Lonchura striata: one gene and its partner. The protein of the gene in region 1 binds, or shares a complex with, the protein of each later gene. Links are inferred from orthologs where the notes say so. Each region holds a gene or a part of one and is shown in the gene's direction. Other genes may lie near its edges.

Region 1 (10,516 bases):
ATCGATCAACAGTTCATGATATGATTAAGGGAGTTTTTTAATTTATAATTTTTTTTCTGCAGTATCTTTTGCAGCTCTATGTCACTAACTCATTTTCTGTTTTCTGTTTGGTCAAGACAGTGGTTAATCATGTTTTGGTGTTTAAGGGTGGGTTTTTAATTGGAAATTTTTTTTTTTTTTTTAATATATATATTTTTAAACTCTGTATAAATATACTGCTGAAAAATCCAGGTTGGTATGCTCAAGGACTGCAGGCCTTGTTGGATACAAAGGATGATTTGGGACTAAAAATGGATGGTCAAAGATCCTGAAAGCAAATGGGCTGTTTTGCCAAATAAGGAAACTTGGCACATTCAGCTGTGTATTTTAAGATAGCACAAGTGTGGTGTGCTACTACTTTATTGGCAATATGTTGGCAGTGTGCCTTCCTGCAAGAAGCACTGAATCCTACTTTGTGGAACCACACAGTAAAGTGAGGGGCAGGGAGTTGCATGTTTGTTTCCCGTAATAAATTACAAAGGCTGTTCCTGCAGTAATTGAATACTTGAGTAGCGTCAGGTGCACGTGCAAGATGAGAGATGCAATTTTCGGTTTCGCAGCCACGCACTAAACAAAATATGAGTTGCAGTTACTGTGCAGTCTGTAAATTATTTCCTCCCTTCTGTCTTTATGTCCCTCAGTGGAAGCTCTCTGTACTCTGGGAGCAGTAGCTGAATGACAAACAGAAGGGACTTCTGTTTTCTATGTGGAATAAAGCAGAGTGTTGTGCATGGCAGCACTTCCCCTACATTGCAGTTTGTAGGGAGCTGGGATGTGTTGAGTTCTTCCAGTGTTGCTGTGCTAAGATGCAGGGCAGCCTGCAGCAGTGTCCTGCTTGCCTGGGGGATTCCCTCGCCTTGGGAGCCTCTAGAGGAAACCGCAGACGTGGGACCTTTGCAGGGCCAGGACCTTCACATGGCTTAATCCCCTTAAGTGCTGTAATCGCAAGAAGCCAGTGATGGTGGATGGTTTCCTACACCTGCATCACTGATGTGCTGAACTGAGCTTGTGGTGACATAATGTGACTTCACTTGCTGCAGAGTGACTCTGTGTAATAGTCCTGACATGTTGTATACTATTGTTAAATTATAATTTCAAATGTGAAACACTGTCAAATGCAATTCAGATCTCTTACTTTTTGGTATGAAATGAGCAGCTTCCAACAGCATACTCAAATATAAATTACTATGTAGAAAACAAAGAGCCAGAAGAAGATACAGATGTTGCTGCAAGATTACAAGCTCATGCTAACTATTAGAAATAAAACAGGAAAAGGAAAAAAATTCTTTTACCCCCAGGAATATCCCATAGGAATAACTGAAATAACCAGCAGTTTAATTATTTCCTGAAATACCTGTCATTCACTATTTCCGATTTGTCATGTTTTCATTTAACTGAGAGCAAGAAACAGTCAATGCAGCGTTTCCCTGCTACACAGTGATGGTACTTCAACACCTGAAATCGTGAGTGGTGAAGGAGGGTGCGGGTGCCAACCCCCCCTGAGCTGTGTGCAGGGGAGTTGCTGTAAGGTCCAGGCCTGGAGGGGGTGTTACAGCGGGCTGCTCTCCTGTCTGCAGAAGTGTAAGATGCAAAGAAGTGCCACACACTGTTGGAATGCTGTGCTTGGTTCAGATGCAAGTGGAAGACTATAGTTTAATGAAATGCGTGATGTTTTGTTTTTTTTCTCTTAACTAGTGTTACAAACTCAGATTGTTAAATATTTTTAAAACAGGATGACAAGTTAATAAGTGTGTGTGGATTTGTCACTTGCAATTTTTAATCTAAACAGTTGTTTTCTCAAACATAACACAGACTGATCTTTCTAATTGAGGATCACCTATCTTGAATTCAAAAACATGGAGTAATGTTTAAACAGGTCTGTTGTTTCATCTAGTAAAAGAAAACTAATGCAGGCTGGTTTTAATTACAGATCTCTTACTAAAGAGTGTCTCTTCTAAATCTCCTCTGCTTTCTCTGGAAAAAAAAAACATCTGGAACAACCAACATCCAGCATCTGGATGCCAACCAATGAATAATTCTTTAAATAACATTAACTTATTGTATGCCATGTAGCATCTCTACAACTACCTAAAAAGAGGTTGTGGTCAGGCAGGGATGAACCCCTTCTCGCTGACAAACAGTGACAGGACTAGAGGACATGGTCTTAAGATGTATCAGGGGATGTTTAGGCTGGACATGAGGAGAAATTTCTTCACAGAAAGGGTGATTAAACATTGGAATGGACTGCCCAGGGAAGTGGTGGAGTCACTGTCCCTGGAGGTGTTCAAGGAAAGACTGGATGTGGCACTCAGTGCCATGGTCTAGTTGACAAGGTAGCATTTGGTCATAGATTGGACTCAGTATCTCAGAGGTCTTGCCACCTGATTCCTTGTGTGATCCTGTGATCTGCAGCTGGTTGCCTGCTGTAGGTAAATTTGAAACTGAGGTGTTTAAAGAATGAACGGTAGCTTCTGCAAGTGCTTGTGTGCCAGACACTGCATTGTGATTCTATGAAAATTGAGATAAAGTTTGAAGCAGTAAGGAGGACCTATCAGAAAAGTACTCATTTGTATTTGTGAAGTGTCTGGTGTGCATGCTATTCTCTGCTAGTGTAATTTTCAGAAATCAAATAATTTACTAGTTTGGATGGTTAATTTGGTGGCTCTGGGTGAACAGTAATGTTAAATAATTTGACAGCTCTTCAAAGCTATTGAATTCAGATAGTGAATGCCAGAAATTTCCTTCCTGGGATATGTTTTTCTTTTCACATGGTTTCCTTTTCCTTCTGCCATCCCAAATGCAATGATCTGTTTTCAGCTATTCCCACCTTCCTGTTAAATTTATGGTCTAGTTGGTGCGTATGCTTTTGCCTGTGAGTAACATCACTCCTAGCCAATTCTGTTGTCAGTAAGGAAATAATTCACTCGAGTGTGATTACCTGTGTGCATAAATATGTGCAGGGCTGTGGCCTTAAATTGTGAGGTTTTTGAGTTAGGAAGTCAGTCTGTTTTATTTGTCTGTAAAGTGTCCCATATGCTTAAGACACCATGTGCAGAGCATGAACTTGGAGTAACTGCTGGAGTAAACAATGCAAATGAACATTTGTTTCTGAAGATCTGCTAATTAAGCAGCAATGGCAAGGAGCAAAACATTAAAACATCTCTTGGTTTGTAGGATTGACCAATTTCCTTTGAGCTTTCTCTAAGAAAATGTGTGCAGGCTGTGCAAAAGATGACTATGGGATGCAGGAAGTTACAACAGCAACAAGGTTAAAACAAGAACAGAAGGTCAGCAGGACAGTTCAGGCACTTGTATTAGGAAAGAGGCTGAAGAGCATTGGAAGAATGGACTTTATTTCATATCCTAGTGGTAACTCCTGCTCTGACTTGCAGCTCTGGGAAGAGAGCATTCATGTTCCCTCTTCGGGAGCCCTGCGTGCTGGCTGTCAGTGAAAGGCTTGAAGTCTGCTCCTTGCTAAAAACCTTTCAGTATACATAGTAAAGTTGTCATCGTCTGGTCAGTGTTTTTATTTTTCCTTATGGGTGGTCAAGAGGTATTAAATGAAGCAGGCAGTTTCAGAGAAGGCTCTGTAACGTGTGTAGAAAAGTGTTGATATCATAATCTCTCATTTGGAGAATAGCGGCAGTCAAATAGTGCCAGAAATTCCTGATCAAATGATATCTCAAAATTTTATCTTAGTTTTACAATCAGGAGAGACAGGGGGCAAATAATGCCTTTGTGTATGTCACAGAAGGGACTGGCATAAAGAGATTCTGGCAGTCAGCACTACACAGGTGTGTTTCGGACAACACATAACATGTCTTTTATCTCAAAAATCCCTATGGAATGGAAGTTCCCCAAAGACGTAGTCTATTTTGGTACTGTAATTTACCAGTGAAATTGGATGTGTAGTTTTCACCATCAACCCAAAATCTCTGGCTCTTTTTTTGCTTGTTTTATTAAAACTAATCTCTCATTTTATGCTGATAGGTTTGCTGTCATTAATTACAAGTATAGTAACGTTTTCTGGTAATTAAAACTACTTTGTCTAGGCTGGTGCATCTGAAGTGAACCTGCAGCAGACTTGCAGGTGGTTCTGGAGTATGCTGTGTCCTGCAGTCCCACTGAAGACCTGAGCTTTCTGATTTTGTATCATTAAAAAAAGAAACCTAAAATTAGTCATTGTTCATGCATTTAGGTGATAATGTTTCTTGAAATTCGCTACAGCCATAAGCTTTATCACCGTGAAATCTCGGGGAAGGACGTTCTGTTCCCCTGTCAGCAGATTTGGGATCATCTCTTGAAACTGCCGACACCAGTCTTGGCACAGGCTGCAGAATTTCACATATTGTAACCCAGATGAATTACCCTGTACTTGCGCTTTGTTACAACGTGCAAACAGAACTGAGTCACTCGGGAAGAGAGATTTACCACGGCCACGTTTTTCCACATCCTTGCATCAAGCTCTCGGACCTCGCCCGGAGCGCCGTTGGGGCGCGGTGTGTGCCCGGGTGCCGCTGCCCGCCCGGGTGCGGTGAGCCCGTGAGCCCGGGTGCGGTGAGCCCGTGAGCCCGGGTGCGGTGTGGCTGTGAGCCCGGGTGCGGTGTGCCCGTCAGCCCGGGTGCCGTGTGGCTGTGAGCCCGGGTGCGGTGTGGCCGTGAGCCCGGGTGCGGTGAGCCTGTGAGCCCGGGTGCGGTGAGCCCGGGTGCGGTGAGCCCGTGAGCCCGGGTGCGGTGAGCCCGTGAGCCCGGGTGCGGTGAGCCCGGGTGCGGTGTGGCCGTGAGCCCGGGTGCGGTGTGCCCGTGAGCCCGGGTGCGGTGAGCCCGGGTGCGGTGTGGCCGTGAGCCCGGGTGCGGTGTGCCCGTGAGCCCGGGTGCGGTGAGCCCGGGTGCGGTGTGGCCGTGAGCCCGGGTGCGGTGAGCCCGGGTGCGGTGAGCCCGGGTGCGGTGTGCCCGTGAGCCCGGGTGCGGTGAGCCCGGGTGCGGTGTGGCCGTGAGCCCGGGTGCGGTGTGCCCGTGAGCCCGGGTGCGGTGTGGCCGTGAGCCCGGGTGCGGTGAGCCCGGGTGCGGTGTGGCCGTGAGCCCGGGTGCGGTGTGGCCGTGAGCCCGGGTGCGGTGAGCCCGGGTGCGGTGTGCCCGTGAGCCCGGGTGCGGTGTGGCCGTGAGCCCGGGTGCGGTGTGCCCGTGAGCCCGGGTGCGGTGTGGCCGTGAGCCCGGGTGCGGTGTGGCCGTGAGCCCGGGTGCGGTGAGCCCGGGTGCGGTGTGCCCGTGAGCCCGGGTGCGGTGTGGCCGTGAGCCCAGGTGCGGTGTGCCGGTGAGCCCGGGTGCGGTGTGCCGGTGAGCCCGGGTGCGGTGAGCCCGTGAGCCCGGGTGCGGTGTGGCCGTGAGCCCGGGTGCGGTGAGCCCGTGAGCCCGGGTGCGGTGTGCCGGTGAGCCCGGGTGCGGTGTGCCCGTGAGCCCGGGTGCGGTGTGCCCGTGAGCCCGGGTGCGGTGTGGCCGTGAGCCCAGGTGCCGTGTGGCTGTGAGCCCGGGTGCGGTGTGCCGGTGAGCCCGGGTGCGGTGAGCCCGTGAGCCCGGGTGCGGTGAGCCCGTGAGCCCGGGTGCGGTGTGCCCGGGTGCGGTGAGCCCGGGTGCGGTGTGCCCCGTGCCCCGCGCGGGGCCGACAGGCCGGCGTGCCCGGCGTGCCTGAGCGGGCGGCAGCCCGGGCGACTGCGGCTGCCGGGCTGTCCACGGGGAAGGCAGCCACGGGCCTGCCTTCTGCAGAGCTGCTTCCAAGGTGTTCCGGAAACGCCAGGCTTGCTCTGAGGAATACTCTTAGTTGTTTCTGTCCCCCAACTCCTCCTAATAGATTATGCAAACTGTAGCACACCCTGTGAAATGCGCGTTCTCAGGCTCTTTTCTTCCTGTGGCCTGTGGATTTTACTGTAGTGTGCTTGTGATTATGATTTTGTGGTGACTGAGCATGGGTAAGAAAGTCCATAAATCTTTGGAGCATGTGCATTAATAAAAACTTTTCTCTTCACAGGTTTTGCTGTGGTATATTTTGTCATTATGAGATGTCGTCTACCAGTGCTTCATTTGTGCAAATTAAATTTGATGACTTGCAGTTTTTTGAGAACTGCGGTGGAGGAAGTTTTGGGAGTGTCTACCGAGCCCGATGGATTTCTCAGGACAAGGAGGTGGCAGTAAAGAAGCTGCTCAAAATAGAAAAAGAGGTAAAAGTTTACTTTTCATTCATTGTCTGCTGTGGTAACCACAGAAATTATTTTCTAGTGTTTTCTATCCTCTAGGTAATGCAGGCAAACTGCCTTGGGATTTTTGTTTGTTTAATTACAAAACTCCATAAGCGGCGATGTTACAGTATAGACATAACTAGCAGTCCTAGAGGAGGGGGCTAATTCAAAGCACTGTTGTTTAACCCTTCATTGTTGTTGCCCACTTTTCTTGTTTTGCAGTTCTCCTCTACCTGAGGAGAGCTTGCTGTGCCTGTGGAGCTACTAATTTCCCCTTGATACCACCAGCATGTTGCTGATAGGAAGAGGTAGCGTCCCTGTCATTACCTGATTCCATTTTGTCCTCTTGATGTCTGCTCTGTGGTTCACATCTCTATGTTCACTACAGGCTTAGAGTTGTCTCTTCCCTGCCTGATGAAGATTTTGATCTAGGGCTCCACTAGCTCCTAGTTAGTCATAGCCACATAGTCATAGCTTGTTTTGCAACAAGGTAGTTTTAACCCTAACTGTTCTGCCAGTCACCTTCCCTTGGGGTGTCTTGTGACCTGGAAAGGCAGATGGGTCCTTGGCAGTCCTGGGGAAAAAGGCAGAATTAGCTAAGTGCACCTTTAGCAGCTAAGGTTGGTTTGTTGTTTGGTTTTTTTCCGAAGCTTTTTAAATTTGCCTAAAAGTCCTTTTGACCCCTCAGCTTCGTATAGTTTCAGCAGAGATGTGGTGTATGTGGTCCTCACAGAGCTCCAGTCTGCCTGCTGGTCAGCACCACCGATGGAGCAGTGAGCACAGCCCAGTGTAGTGATGGACAGCAGAGTTAGTGGACTGTTGTTCCATCATGACTGTATGTAATGTCTGTACAGTCTCCTCAGACTATTGTAGGAAGACAGTTACAAGCTGGAGGACAGCAGAGCAGTGCTAGGCATAATAGACTTAGTAAATAATCAGACACTAAAGTAAATCCACTGAGGCAGCAGCCGAGCTGCCATGATTGTGTCATGCTTAGTGATGTAATAAGCATGTTTGATCATGATTAAGCGTGTTGCTCGTTAAAATAATGTAAAAGGATCTCAAGATTTTTCTAGGACAATGGAAGATTTATACATTCTGTCCAGTGTCAGTTTGTGCTGTTCTCTTTTATTTCTACTAATCGTTAATATCAAAAGATACATGAAAAGTAAAATTTGTGCGATGCAGTATCAGTAGTGTGCTCCTTAAAAATAACCTGGCTGGCAGGTCTCAGTCAGGGTTAGTGAAATACCTTTGTTGTACATGTGTGTTTCTGAAGGAGTTACACCTGTATGTGTGCTAGACCTGTTGTTATGTACTTAAAGCATTTTTTGAAAGTAAATTTAAAACCAATATTAATATGTCTTGGGATGGCATAAAACTTAATGGAATGGGAAAGGATGGAAGAAGGAAAATCCTGTGTATTGCTTGACACAGTTGGATCATTCAACAAAAATAATTTTTTTAAGACAGTGCAACACAAGCTTAAGCTTGGAGTAGCAAGGAACACAGGCTTTACAGTAGGAAAAGGAAACCATATGCCAGAAAGAGCTTATAATAATGTAAGGGTTTATTTAGGGATTAATGAAGACTTGCAACTCAGTAAGAGTCCATATCATGGTGCAGTTAGGCAAATTAGGTTAATTGCTTGGTATATGCAAATCAGGATCAAGTAATTTGTAACAACCAGGTGTGCTTTATCTTGATATATAGCACTGGGAAAATTGTTGTTAGGCATATGTGGTTCTGTTCTGTTTAAAAGAGTGTCAATGAGCTGTAAAAGCAGCCCAAGGGAATCTGCAAAACACAGAGCGGAAAGTTAGTAAGAATGGGGGTGTCAAGAGGAGGTGATGAATATCATCCATCAGGATGAGTTGACAGAAGTGCCTTCCATCATGAATTTGTTTATTTTTCTTCGGACTGGTTATAATTTGCAACTTAAACTAGACAAGACAGGTTATGGGAACAGCTTGGTATGGGCACTTTCTCTTGAAAGTTTTCTGGAAAAGCAGCGGAGAGGCAAGTGGTGATGCCTTAAATAAGTCTGACAAGCTTTGGCAGAACTTTTCTGTCAACAGCCTTAGAGAATTTAAAAGTAAGAGCCTACATACAAAAATTGCATTTTCATATGGAGAAAATGATGGGATAGTTTCATCTAGTGCAAAAAGTTATTGCAAGAACTAGTGCTTCAAATCTGTAGCCAGAAAAATTAGAATGGAAAGAAAAGCACAAATTATCAGGAGTGAGGATGAGTAACACTTGGCACAGACTACAAATGAAAGGAGTGAAGATGGAGTATCCTTTTCATCTGTCTTCTCACTGAGATCTCTTTTTAGACAATTGTTTTTGTCCAATTGTTGAGCTCAACACAGGAGCATTTTGCTGAAGTATAGTAGCCTGTGCTGCACCAGAGGCCAACTTGGTGGCCAAAAGGTCTTCTGACCCTAATGGCTCTCACATGTATACATATGTAGCATCTTCATCTGAAGTGATGACAATAATGAATGTCTGTGACTGAACTGCACTGAAGTCATGGTGAATTAATGACTCTTCTGATATCAATACAAAAATAACTTGCTGTAACTCTTGTGTGTCTGTTTAGTAGGTACTTGGATGCACTTAGTCCAGAAAACTAATTATTCTGTGCATTTGGACAGTGCTCTCAGGCACTCTTGGGGATGGTCCTGTGTGGGGCTGAGAGTTGGATTTGATGAACTTTGTGGGTCCCTTCCAGCTTGGGATAATCTGAGATTCTACTCTTTCTAGTTTATTTGGAAGGAAGTGTCCTTTTATCTCCATGACTGCATGTCTTATAGTTCTGTTAACTGCTGCCAATAATCCATAACAACTGATTAGAGGGAAAACATAGGAGGGTTGTGAAAAGCTTGCTCAGAGGCATTTCATGCTAGCCAAGTCCAAGGGAGCAAGCCAAGTCAATAGAGCTGTAGTATCATTCTGCAAATATGTTGTATCTATGTGTAATTTTATTAAACAAGCCAATCACAACCAGCAAATATTGTGAAGGTTTTATATTAGCCAAGGGGTTAACAAGTTCTAACATGTGAAACAAAGCAATTTGTGTTCCAGCATAGCATACTAGAATATGTGCTTATAAAAACTTACAAATACTTGGAAGAGTGTTGCTTAGACAGATTGCTTTGAAACTCTTTGAAATCTGAGAAATACCTCTGCAAGGCATTAACTTTTTTTTAAGACAGGCAATAAAATGCAGCTTTGTGGGAAGAGATGCAGCTTTGTGTGTGTATGTGAAAAGATACACGTAAACAGGTCTGCTAGGAAGAAAATATATATGCTACAAGGTCTTGGTTAGAATATCAGATGTGAAACTGGACAGGAATTGTGCTGATTAAGTAAAACATAGGAACATGGCCTGAGTGATTAAATAGCAGCAAAACAAAGATTAAGATGCCACATCTAGTACGACCACTATAGTGGTTTTAGGTTTAAAGTAGGAAACAGGAGTTCCTAGTGAATTGTTTTATAGAAAATGAAGCTGTCGGCATGATATTTATGATGCATTTGGCAGAGTGTAGGATCCTGTAGCAGGATCAGTCCTTTTGCCCTGAGTGATAATTGTGTCCACTCAGTGAAGAAAATTGCACATCTACTACTCTGGAAGTTATTTGGCATTTTTGTGAGGGATTTATATGAGTTATTAGATAAACCCGTAATTTGGCTCCCACTGAAATGAATGGGAGAGACTGGAACCAGGGGCCTTATTCTGCAAATTGCTAGCCGTTCTTTTGACTCCGTTATCGGAGCAGATAACTGCTGGATGAAGTGTTACAGATGTTGTTTTATGCCTTGCCACGATTGCTTTTCACTGAAGAGCACTCACTTCCTTTGATTGCCCATTTCTGAAGTTTACCTGTTATTTGTCATTGCTTTTGAGGGCTGTGCTATTGGTGGCAGCTTGTTGGCAGCTGGTGTATGGAGTGTGGTTCCTCACCAGGTGGTTTGTTACTGCTGGAATTTCATGTGAAATTTGAATTTCATTTTAATACCACAGGTCTTTGAAAGTACTCTGTGGTCCATAAGCTGTCTTCATTCTATTAGTGGGCAGTGGTATTGCTTCAGCCATTGCAATCAGGGTACTTGGGTACAAGATTACTTGATTTCATACAGTACATGTGTTACTGGACTCCTTCAGAATGCTGGCAGTGGTCTGTGCAAACTGCAGGAGAGTGGTGCGGAAAAAATCCAGTAAAATGTAATTGTAATCTT
Region 2 (9,584 bases), on another chromosome or scaffold:
AAGATTACATTTCCCTAATAATTCTTGACCCTTGGCTGTCCCCTCTATTTCCTGCAGACACCAACTTCACTGGCTGGGACAATGCTCTGATGGTGGCAGTGGGGACCCAGCACCTGGGATCTCGTTTGATCTCAGGCTGAAATCTGAAATAAGCAGTTGGTGAAATTGTTTTCTCTGCACTGTCTCCTCCTTCCTTGCTCCACCACTGCCGAGCCTCCAGCCTGCACTTTGTAATTAGTGGTTGAAATGAAAATGGGGTGGGGGGAAAGAGAAGTCTAAAATAAAATCTGGACTATTCTTGTTGTTTTATTGACGAAGCCTCCTGCATTCCCTATGATTTCTGAACTACATGCTATTTTTTTTTTTTTTTAAGGCAGCTACCCTGCAATTTCTGCAGGGCAGCGAGGCAGTTTTACCCAGAGTAGTTCTCAGTATGACAAATGGATGGGAAAGAGATGCCGGGATCGTTGACTATCTGTAATTAACCATTAAGATGAAGGCTGGGAAAGAATCAGTGCACCACAGAGAAATTTTAGTGGCACCTACTTTTTTTTTTTCTTTGTTCACTCCACCCAATATGTGACGGACTTTTTGGGGGTCACTGTGTCACCAGAGCTCCACAGGTGGCTGTCACAGCTTGGATCCGTGTCGTTGGTCCTACAGAACCGCGGCACCCACCGTGCTGGGGTTTCCCTGAAGGAACATCCCCAGAGGGGCCCCGGTTCCCAGCACCCCCACATCCCCCGCAGGCACCTGCTCCCGGGGGGACCGGGGCAGTGCCCCCCAAGCTGCCCGTGTCCCCACCGGGCTGCACACACACCCCAAGCGAGGGAGCCCAGCGATGCCGCATCCCCTGCGAGAAGGTTTTGGGGTGCAGGAAGGGCTGGGGCGGGGGGTCACACCGCGGCAGGGCGGAGAGCACGGGGGAAATGCAGCGGGACTCAGCGGCACGGCAGGAGGGGGAACCGGGAGAAACGGGGGAAATCGGTGAGAACGGGAAAAAGGGGCAGGAAGAAGAAGAAAAAAGGGGAGAGCAACGGGGAGGAAGAACAGGGAGGGGAAAGGGGGGAGAGACAACGTGGGGTGGGGCGAAGGGGGGGAACAGCGAGAGCTGAAGAGGAACGGGGATCCGGAGCGGCCAGCGCGGCCGGACCGGGGCGGAGGGCGGAGGGCAGCGGTAACGTCCCGGGAGCCCCGAGCGCCGCCCCTTACCGTTGAGCCGCACGGTGAACTGCCGCCGCTTGCGATCGTGCTCCACCTGGATGGGGCAGCCCTGCTCCAGGAGGCCGAGCGGCGCGGAGTGCGCCATGGCGGTGCCGGTGCCGGTGCCGAGGCGCGGTCGGGCCCGGCGCGGCCGCGGCCGCAGGAAGCCCCAGCTGTGCGGCACGTGCCCGCCCCGCAGCCAATGGCCGCGCCGCGCTTTTGTTTTGGTACGGCCGCGCGGCCCTTAAAGGGGCAACGCCAACGCCGCCGTGGGGACCGCAGGCAGCCCAGGCGCCCCCGCGCGGGCGGCGCCGCCACCAGCGGCCGCCGGAACGGCGCGGGTTCGGTACTGGTCCCGTGCTAATTCCGCACTGGTTCTGTGCAGATTTGTCACTGGTACTGTGCTGGTTCGGCGCTGGTCCCGCACTAATTCCGCACTGGTTCCGTGCTGGTTCGGCACTGGTCCCGCACAGGTAACTGTACTGGTTCTGTACCGGTCCCACACTGGTCTCACACTAATTCTGCACTGGTTCTGTACTGGTCCCACACTAATTCCGCACTGGTTCTGTGCTGGTCCCATACTGGTTCTGTGCTGGGTCGGCACTGGTCCTGCACAGGTTCTGTACTAGCTCTGTACCGGTCCCGTTCTGGTCCTGCACTAATTCCACACTGGTTCTGTACCGGTCCCGCACTGATTCCACACTAATTCCACACTGGTTCTGTGCTGGTCCCATACTGGTCCCACACGAGTTCTGTACTGATTCTGTACCGGTCCCGTTCTGGTCCTGCACTAATTCCACACTGGTTCTGTGCTGGTCCCATACTGGTTCTGTGCTGGTTCGGCACTGGTCCTGCACAGGTTCTGTACTAGTTCTGTACTGGTCCCGTTCTGGTCCTGCACTAATTCCACACTGGTTCTGTACTGGTCCCACACGGTTTCTGTACCAGTTCTGTACCGGTCCCACACTGATTCCACACTAATTCCACACTGGTTCTGTGCTGGTCCCATACTGGTCCTGCACGAGTTCTGTACTGGTTCTGTACTGGTCCCGTTCTGGTCCTGCACTAATTGCACACTGGTTTTGTACTGGTCCCACGCTAATTCTGCACTGGTTCCGTGCTGGTCCCACATGGGTTCTGTACTGTTCTGTACCAGTCCCACACTAATTCTGCACTGGTTCTGTGCTGGTCCCGTACGGGTTCTGTACTGGTCCCACACTGACCCCACATCGGTTCTGTAGTGGCTCTGTACTGGTCCTGCACTGTTTTTTACCAGTCCTTTACTGGCCCCGCACTGGTTTTCTGCTCTGGTCTCCTGCTCTTTCCCCGCTCCCATCGAGCCTGGCCCCAAGGACTGGGTGTCTGCTGGGCAGAGGGGTAAATTCCCTTCCTTCTCCATGAATGTTGGTGAGGAGGTGTTGTCCTTCACCCCATCCCCTCCCTGGCAGCTGTGTGCTGCTGCAGGGAGGCACAAACAGCAGGGGAGCGCAGGGAATGCAAAGCCTGCAGCAGCCAGGCCCAGCACGGCTGGCGTGTGGCAGGGAGGAAGGGGAGGGATAACTGGCATGATCCCAGAGCTGTCAGGGAGGGCTGATGCCCTCCAGCACACAGGGATGCTCAGGACACAGCAGGGCTGAAGTTTTAGGAGAGAGGAGGAAGGAGAAGCAGGTTTTGCCCAGACATGGGTGAGCAACTCCTTACTGTCACCCTGTTCTTTGGAGAGTTTTAAAGTTCTTCTAAAAGTTCCTATGCCTTCTAATATTTACATATTTCTACTGAGTTTTCTCACACATGTTCATGTAAATAATAACTGTTTTACATTCTTCTTTGTGGGTGGAGAGAATTTATAGACTGTTAGCTTGACCAGTGCAGCTGGAGAGGTGGCAGTTTCACCCTCCAATCCACTACCATTTTTGCTAATGTATATATAGTAGAGTCAGAAAATAAAGTTTACTTTTTTGAGTTATTTTTTCTTTCCTTTTACATCCAACCTGCTTCTGTGAGTTATTTCATGTCACAGTGTAACACCTTACTGCCCTCGGTGATCGCCCTGACCCAGAGCCAAAGGTTCACCTACAGCCCCTGAAAGCATGGAGAGCCTTTCCATGGGTGCCAAAACTGCAGCAAAACTTGCCAAAATCTCTGTGAGCACTCGGGCTCCATGGGGATCCTGTGCCTGTGCTGATTCCCTGGGACAGCGGCTCAGACGAGGAGGGGCAGGCAGAAGCAGCCATGGGAAGCTGCAGAAGAGGTGGAGAGGTCCCCCAGGAGATCCCCAAGCCCTACCATGGCTGGGAGGTGACCTCGAGGGTGCTTCTGGTGCCTTCCTCACAGCTCGTGGGGGTCTGTGTGCTCCCTGCCTTCCCACCCTGTTGGATCTGGATGCTGAGTGCTCCCAATTTCCCTGTGTGCCCTGCAGAGCTCCTGTGCTGGAAGGCCTGGCAGCCTTGGTGACACTTGTGTGTCCCCTCTCACCCCTGGGATTGAGAGCCAGAGACTCAAATCCAGTCACTGCTTCATCCAGCCCTGGATGTAGCAGCCTCCAGGGATGCAGGAGGGGGATGGTGCACATTTGGGGACAGCAGGGCCATGTCCCCAAGCTCGCAGTGACACCCCAGGTGCTGCCAGCAGCAGGGCCAGCTGTCAGAGCCGGTCCCACAGCTCCCCATTTGTAAAAGAGCTGGTGATGCTCTGCTCTGCCACAGACCCCCCAAAACTCACACCCAAGCACTGCCTCAGCCCAGAGCTGTGTGGATCAGTTCAAACCCCGCTGCTGGCTCCAAGATCCGTGTGGATAAAGGTCAGAAAGGGCCCCTCAGCTGGCCCAGCCCTGCACTGACACCACAGCTCTTGCATCAGCGCTGCTGACCCGCGGCTGGGCTGCAGAGCAGTGGCTTTTTTGGAAAGACTCCTCCTCGTCTGTGTTGAAAGACTTGAAAGGTGGCGAATCTGCGACCTCTCTGGGGAAGGTAATTGCTCTCCCCGCTAAAAACCTGTAATTGATGTTGCATTTGAGCTCTTCCACCCTCAGTGTGCAGCTGGATCTGGTGCCTTTGGTGCTTGAGGCACCCGTGCAGCCACAGATCCCAACTCCTGCAGCTCCTTCCCTCTGGCAGCGAATCCCTTCTACTGCCTGGCTTTGAGGAGGTTTTTCCAGTCCTCAGATTTATCCCAAACTCTCTGCAAAGCTGAGAGCTGGCTGTGGCAGAGCAGCTGCGATCTCACCAGTGCTGCCAGCAGTTGCCACCCCTCCAACTCCTCCTTTGGTCTTTATGGATCACACGAAGAATTCCAGCCAGAAAATGGCACTTGGAATCTCATTTTTTTTGCTTTTTCAGCTGCATCTCTCACATCGTATCCAGCATTTCTGCCTGCAGCCCAGCTCGGGTGGCTGTGGGAGCATCCTTACCCCAGGATGTGCCACGTCTGGGAGGGGTTGATTCCTCAGTGACTCAGGGAGGAATTAACCATGGAATCAGAGCATCCTGAGCTGTAAGGGACACACAAGGATCATCCAGTCCAACTCCAGGCCCCCAAATCCCACCCTATGCCTGGGAACGTTGTCCAAACACTCCTGGAGCTGTGGCAGCCTTGGGGCTGTGCCCATCCCCTGGGGAGGCTGGGCAGTGCCTGGTCACCTTCTGGGGGGAATTTCCTTTCCCTGATATCCAGCCCAAACCCCCCTGACACAGCTCCGGCCGCTCCCTTGGCTCCCCGGCCATTTCCCAGCCGGACACGCCGCTGGCACCCACGGCACGCGGGACCCACGGGAGGCGTGAGTGACCACCCTCAGCTGACAGAGGAGGTGAGGGCCGAGGAGCAGCACAGGGGGGGATGCTCGGCGCCCCAACCCCGCGGCAGTGTCGCCGCTCTCGGGGCAGCGTCCCCGGGGCCACGACGGCGACACCGAGGCCACCTCTCCTGAGGGGCAGCAGCACCCGCCCGCCTCACTTCCCCCTCACAGCCGCGCCCGAGAACCGCAGAGCCGTTTCCGCGCGGGGCCCTGGCCACGCCCCCCGGCGCGGCGCTGGCCAATGGCGGCGCGGGGGCGGGCCCGGCGGGGCGGCCGCCGGCGGGGCCGCGGCGGGCGGGACCGGCGGGCGCCGCTGGGGCCGGGCCCGCCGGGCTCGCACAGCGCCATGTCCCTGCCCAGAGGTACGAGCGGGCTCGGGAGGGGCGGCGGGGCCGGGGCTGCTGCCCAGCCCGCCGGGCGTGGGCTCCCCGCGGCTTCCTCTGCGCTGGTCCCGGAGCCGCGATGCCGGGGGCTGCGAACCCTCGGTGGGGATGCGGGGTGGGGGAGACGGGGCGAGGCTGCGTTTGGCGTGGGGAGAGCGATAAGAACAGGCGAGCTGTGTTTGTTTGCCGCGAGTTTCGCCTGCCTGCCTTGAGCTCCCGCTGCTCGGGAACTCCGGGCTGGGAGCCGCGGGCCAGCGGAGCCCCCGCCGGGCTGGGCCGGGAGGGACGGAGCGGGCTGGGACTGCGGCCGTGGGCTGTGTCGCCTCGTGTCGCCTCGTGTCGCCTCGTGTCGCCTCGTGTCGCCTCGTGTCCCCTCGTGTCGCCTCGTGCCGGTGTCCGGGCACGGCCGGGACCCGGTGCCGGCGTGTGCCGGGAGTGCCGCGCTGCTGTCCCGCTGTCCGCAGCCGCGGAACGTGACCGTGTGTCACCGGGGTTATTCGCACAGCACGGTGACTCAGGTGCCCATCGCAAGGTGAGAGCACCGGCCGGCGGTACGTGCCGGGATGGATGGGGACAGGGAGGTGGCTCTGCCGGTGTCCCGGTGCTCCCCGGAGCCGGCTCCATCCGCGCACCGGACGGAGGAGGGAGCGCACGGAGTGCGGCCGCTGCCTCTCGAATCCGCGGAATAAAATTCGAGGGGTTTTCCCCGTGCGGGAGTGATGCTCTGGAAAGTCGAAGTCAGGAGCCATGTGAGCAGATGAACGCGCCTCCCGTGACTCTTTTTTTCTTTCCTCCACCTCCCCCCGGTTTGAAACGATCCGTGTCTTATCCGGAGGGAATGTGGACCTGAGTTTCCTGTTTGCTGTGTAAGCAGGGGGTGAATCAGCAGCGATTTTCGGAGCTGCTGACTCACAGGTAGGAGCACATGCCTCCAGCCATCCAGCCTTGGAAGGGATCATCCAGGCTTCTTAAAGGCTGGCACACCGGAGCGCAGACCTTTCCTCGGCTGCCTGTGCCGGAGCGGCGGATGTGTGGATGGAGGGACGAGGTGAGCCTGGCCCAGGGACCACTTGTGCCCCATGGGAGATGAAGCTCAAGCTGGGCCTGGAGGATTTTGGGGGAAGCAGCGTGGCTGACAGCAAGAGGTGATGCCTGGAGGAGCGCCTGGGAGCGCGGTGCTTTCCTCAGAGGAGGTTTGGAGCTGCTCTGTGCGTGGAGGTTTCTGTTGGTTGTGGCAGACTGGTTCATTCGTGCAGTTAACCCTGGTGTCCTGTGCTGGAGGTGTCACCCTGTGTGTGCTGAAAGCAGCTGGTGTCTGCTGGCAGCTCAGAGTCCCCGTCTGACCTGAGCTCCTTTGCTTCCATCAGGACAGCAGCAGCAGCACGAGGGTGGATCCCTGAGTGTGATCCTCCTCTCATCCTGCCTCTCCTTGGCTTGCACCTGCCTCCCAGCTGGTTTTTCCAGGGATGCTCACAGGTCTGAGTGTGTGTACCTGCTGCTCATGGCAGCTGCTTCTCTCTCTTTCAGGCAGCCTGAATTTAAGCTAAATTTCCCTGCTTTTCCTTAGGGAATTTCAGTGAACAATCTCAGGTTTCCTTTGCTGGTTCTCCTTTGGTTTGTGTTGCTCAGGGTTGTAAACAGAGGCTGCTGTGTTGAAGCTCTTGGTTGGCTCTTTTTGTGGCAGATGCCTTCCAAAACTCACCTGCCATCACTTTGGCTTAGTCATGGGGTTGTCTCCTGCCTCGGGAGATTTTTGGGATACGTGGCTGGCCGTGACACTGGTGACAGGAATGGTGCTGTGCCGGGGCTTTGCTCTGCACTAAACGTAGCTTGGGAGATAAACACCTCCTGGGGATTTTGTGGCTCTTAGGGAGGATTTTGGCTTTCTTTCTTCCTCTTCCCGTTGCTCCTGTCTGTTTGATCCAAGTTATCTCACAGGATCTTGTATGTGGGAGAAGTCTCCTGTGTTATCTTGCGCTGTTGAGGCTGATGTTTACTCATATATGCAAAAACTCCCTGTTTTCTCAGGTCACCCAAGTTCCCTCGAGCTGTGTCTCATGGCCTGGGTGGCACAGTAGGAAGGAATTGGGAGCAAAGCTCTGGAGCTGTCCCTGTGTCCTCCTTGCAGAACTTTGCAAGGGACACAGCCTCTGGCTGCAGCTGGCAACATGGGGCTGGGCCTGGCTGTGATTTTCCAGCAAGGTCTGCACCTTTTTGGTGAATGGACGCTGTGCAGAGAGGGTGTTGTAACCCAGAAGTTAAAGCAGGAGGGGATGAAGCCTCAGGGAATTTTCAGCCTTTGTGTGGGTGCAGAAACACAGTGGAGGATGCAAGGTCTGAGACTCTGGGGATACAAAACCCTTTTCCCTGGGCCTCAAAGTGTATTTTCTGCCTGCCCTGCACATGGAAATCCCTGTGCCCATCCCTGGGGCTGTTGGCTGTGACCTGAGTGGCCCCTGATGCCTGGAGGGACAGGCAGGAGTGTGCTGCTGGGGAAACAGTTGTTTCCCAAAATATTGGGAGTTTTCTGGGGAAAAGCAGCTGCAGGGAGGGGAAAGAGGGAGGGTGAGTGTATGGGTGGGATCTCGAGGGAGAAGACCTGCTTGTCCTGTCCTGGTTCACCCAGCACCGATGCCTGAGTAATTCAAAAACAAGTGTTTTTCCTTAGCAGGGAGATGTCCTTTGGGAATAGAAGTGCTTTTGGGGGGAGAGGGATCAGGATCTGTCTGGAGCCAGGCTGTGCCTCTGGGGAGGCAGCTCTCCTTCACCACAGAGGCTTGGAAAAGCCAGCAGTGAGGAATGCCAGGACTTGGGGATGAACTGGTGCTTGTTCTCGTGGCTTGTCTATTCTGGGTGGGTAAATAAGTGGTGGTGCCTCGTCCCTGCTGTGCCCTGGCCGTGCCCTCTGTGGGAGCACACCACTCTTAGGCAATCCAGGCTGTGAATCCAGCACTGTCTCATCTGCCATTCACACTTTTCCAGCTGCCATCCCTAAAAAAAGGCAGCTCTGCCAAAAATACACGTGTGGGTCGTGACCCGCCGAAGCAGGACTTTGGCTCTGGGCTCCCGTCGTGTCCAGGCAGAGCAGCCACCAGCCTGGTGTTCCCAGGGTTGGAGAGGTGGGAGCTCTGATCCCATGGAGCCATTATTTAATTCAAGTTGAAGCACCACGGAGTTTGAATCCAATTAATTGTAACGATCCTGGAGAAAGCACAGCACTTTGTTCCTGCCTTCCTCCTCTGCTGGCATAACGGTGGGCGCCTGGAAAATATCGTGCTGGATGTGATAAATATTTAGCTGTGCCTCAGCAATCCATTTCCCTCCCTGGAGGGATGCTTCCCTGCTTTTCTTTTAGTGGATAATGAATCTCACTGCAGGCTGATCCCTTTGTTTTCCAGCTCTGAGCTGTGGTCCAGGGCTGAGCTGGAGTTGGTTTGCAAAGGTTGTTGTTACTGGAGGAATCTTCTGTACTTTGTAGAGGCTCCCATTGGGAGCAGCTTTCTGGTACTGGTGATTTTGTGCCCCAAAGTGACACCTCTGCAGATGTGTGGCTCTGTGGGTTTTTGGACAGAAGGTGGTTTTTGATTGTGTTGGTTAATAAGGCACAGCCTGGGCTGGCTGTTTGGTGGGGAAAGAGCTGGGAGAGGAGCTTGTGTTGGCTGGGGAGGTGATTCTACTCTATCAACAAAAAGTTTGGGGTTTTGCTGGTATGACTCAGGATGGCTTGTGGGTTCATATGGAGCTGGATCTACCCGCTGCCTCTTGCTGACAAACCTCTGTAGCACAGGTCAAGTGTTAGTCAGGGATTTGGAGTGGGGAAAAGGGCAGAGAGGATTTTTTTTATGATGGAAACTGGAAGTTTCTGTTGGTTTTTTCCACCTGGGAGATTTTTCATCTCCTCACAGCCTCTTATCTGTGTGGGGGCAATGCTGCAGTGATGCTGTGGCAGTGCTGTGAGTCCCAATGTTCCTTGTCCAAAGGAATTCTGGAATTATTGGGCACAGCTGCAGCAATCTCAGATGTCACAGTGCTGCCTTGTGGCCTCAGTGGGCCTCAGTTTGCCATGGATCTGAGTCTGCTCTCTTTTTTGGAGCTGGGACAGGGCTCCCTGTGTGCTCCTTTCTCTTGCAGCCATTTCTCTGCCCAGCAAAAGGCTGCTTGTGTGGAATGTGGTGGGTTATAGCGTGGCCAAGGGGAGGGGCAGG

What was found.
Region 2: MAP3K20 (region 1) and MAP2K3 share a complex: the UniProt entries of both Homo sapiens proteins name them as parts of the signaling complex. The link is inferred for Lonchura striata from reciprocal best matches to the Homo sapiens genes MAP3K20 and MAP2K3.

The regions. Positions count from the first base shown.
Region 1 is NC_134610.1:20,931,624-20,942,139, forward strand, and holds the start of MAP3K20 (mitogen-activated protein kinase kinase kinase 20), read left to right. Parts: upstream 1-6,064; 5' UTR 6,065-6,094; coding exon 6,095-6,253; intron 6,254-10,516. UniProt on the Homo sapiens protein: Stress-activated component of a protein kinase signal transduction cascade that promotes programmed cell death in response to various stress, such as ribosomal stress, osmotic shock and ionizing radiation.
Region 2 is NC_134618.1:15,092,876-15,102,459, reverse strand, and holds the start of MAP2K3 (dual specificity mitogen-activated protein kinase kinase 3), read left to right. Parts: upstream 1-5,302; 5' UTR 5,303-5,342; coding exon 5,343-5,358; intron 5,359-9,584. Other genes in the region: protein NATD1, read right to left, coding at 1,213-1,309. UniProt on the Homo sapiens protein: Dual specificity kinase. Is activated by cytokines and environmental stress in vivo. Catalyzes the concomitant phosphorylation of a threonine and a tyrosine residue in the MAP kinase p38.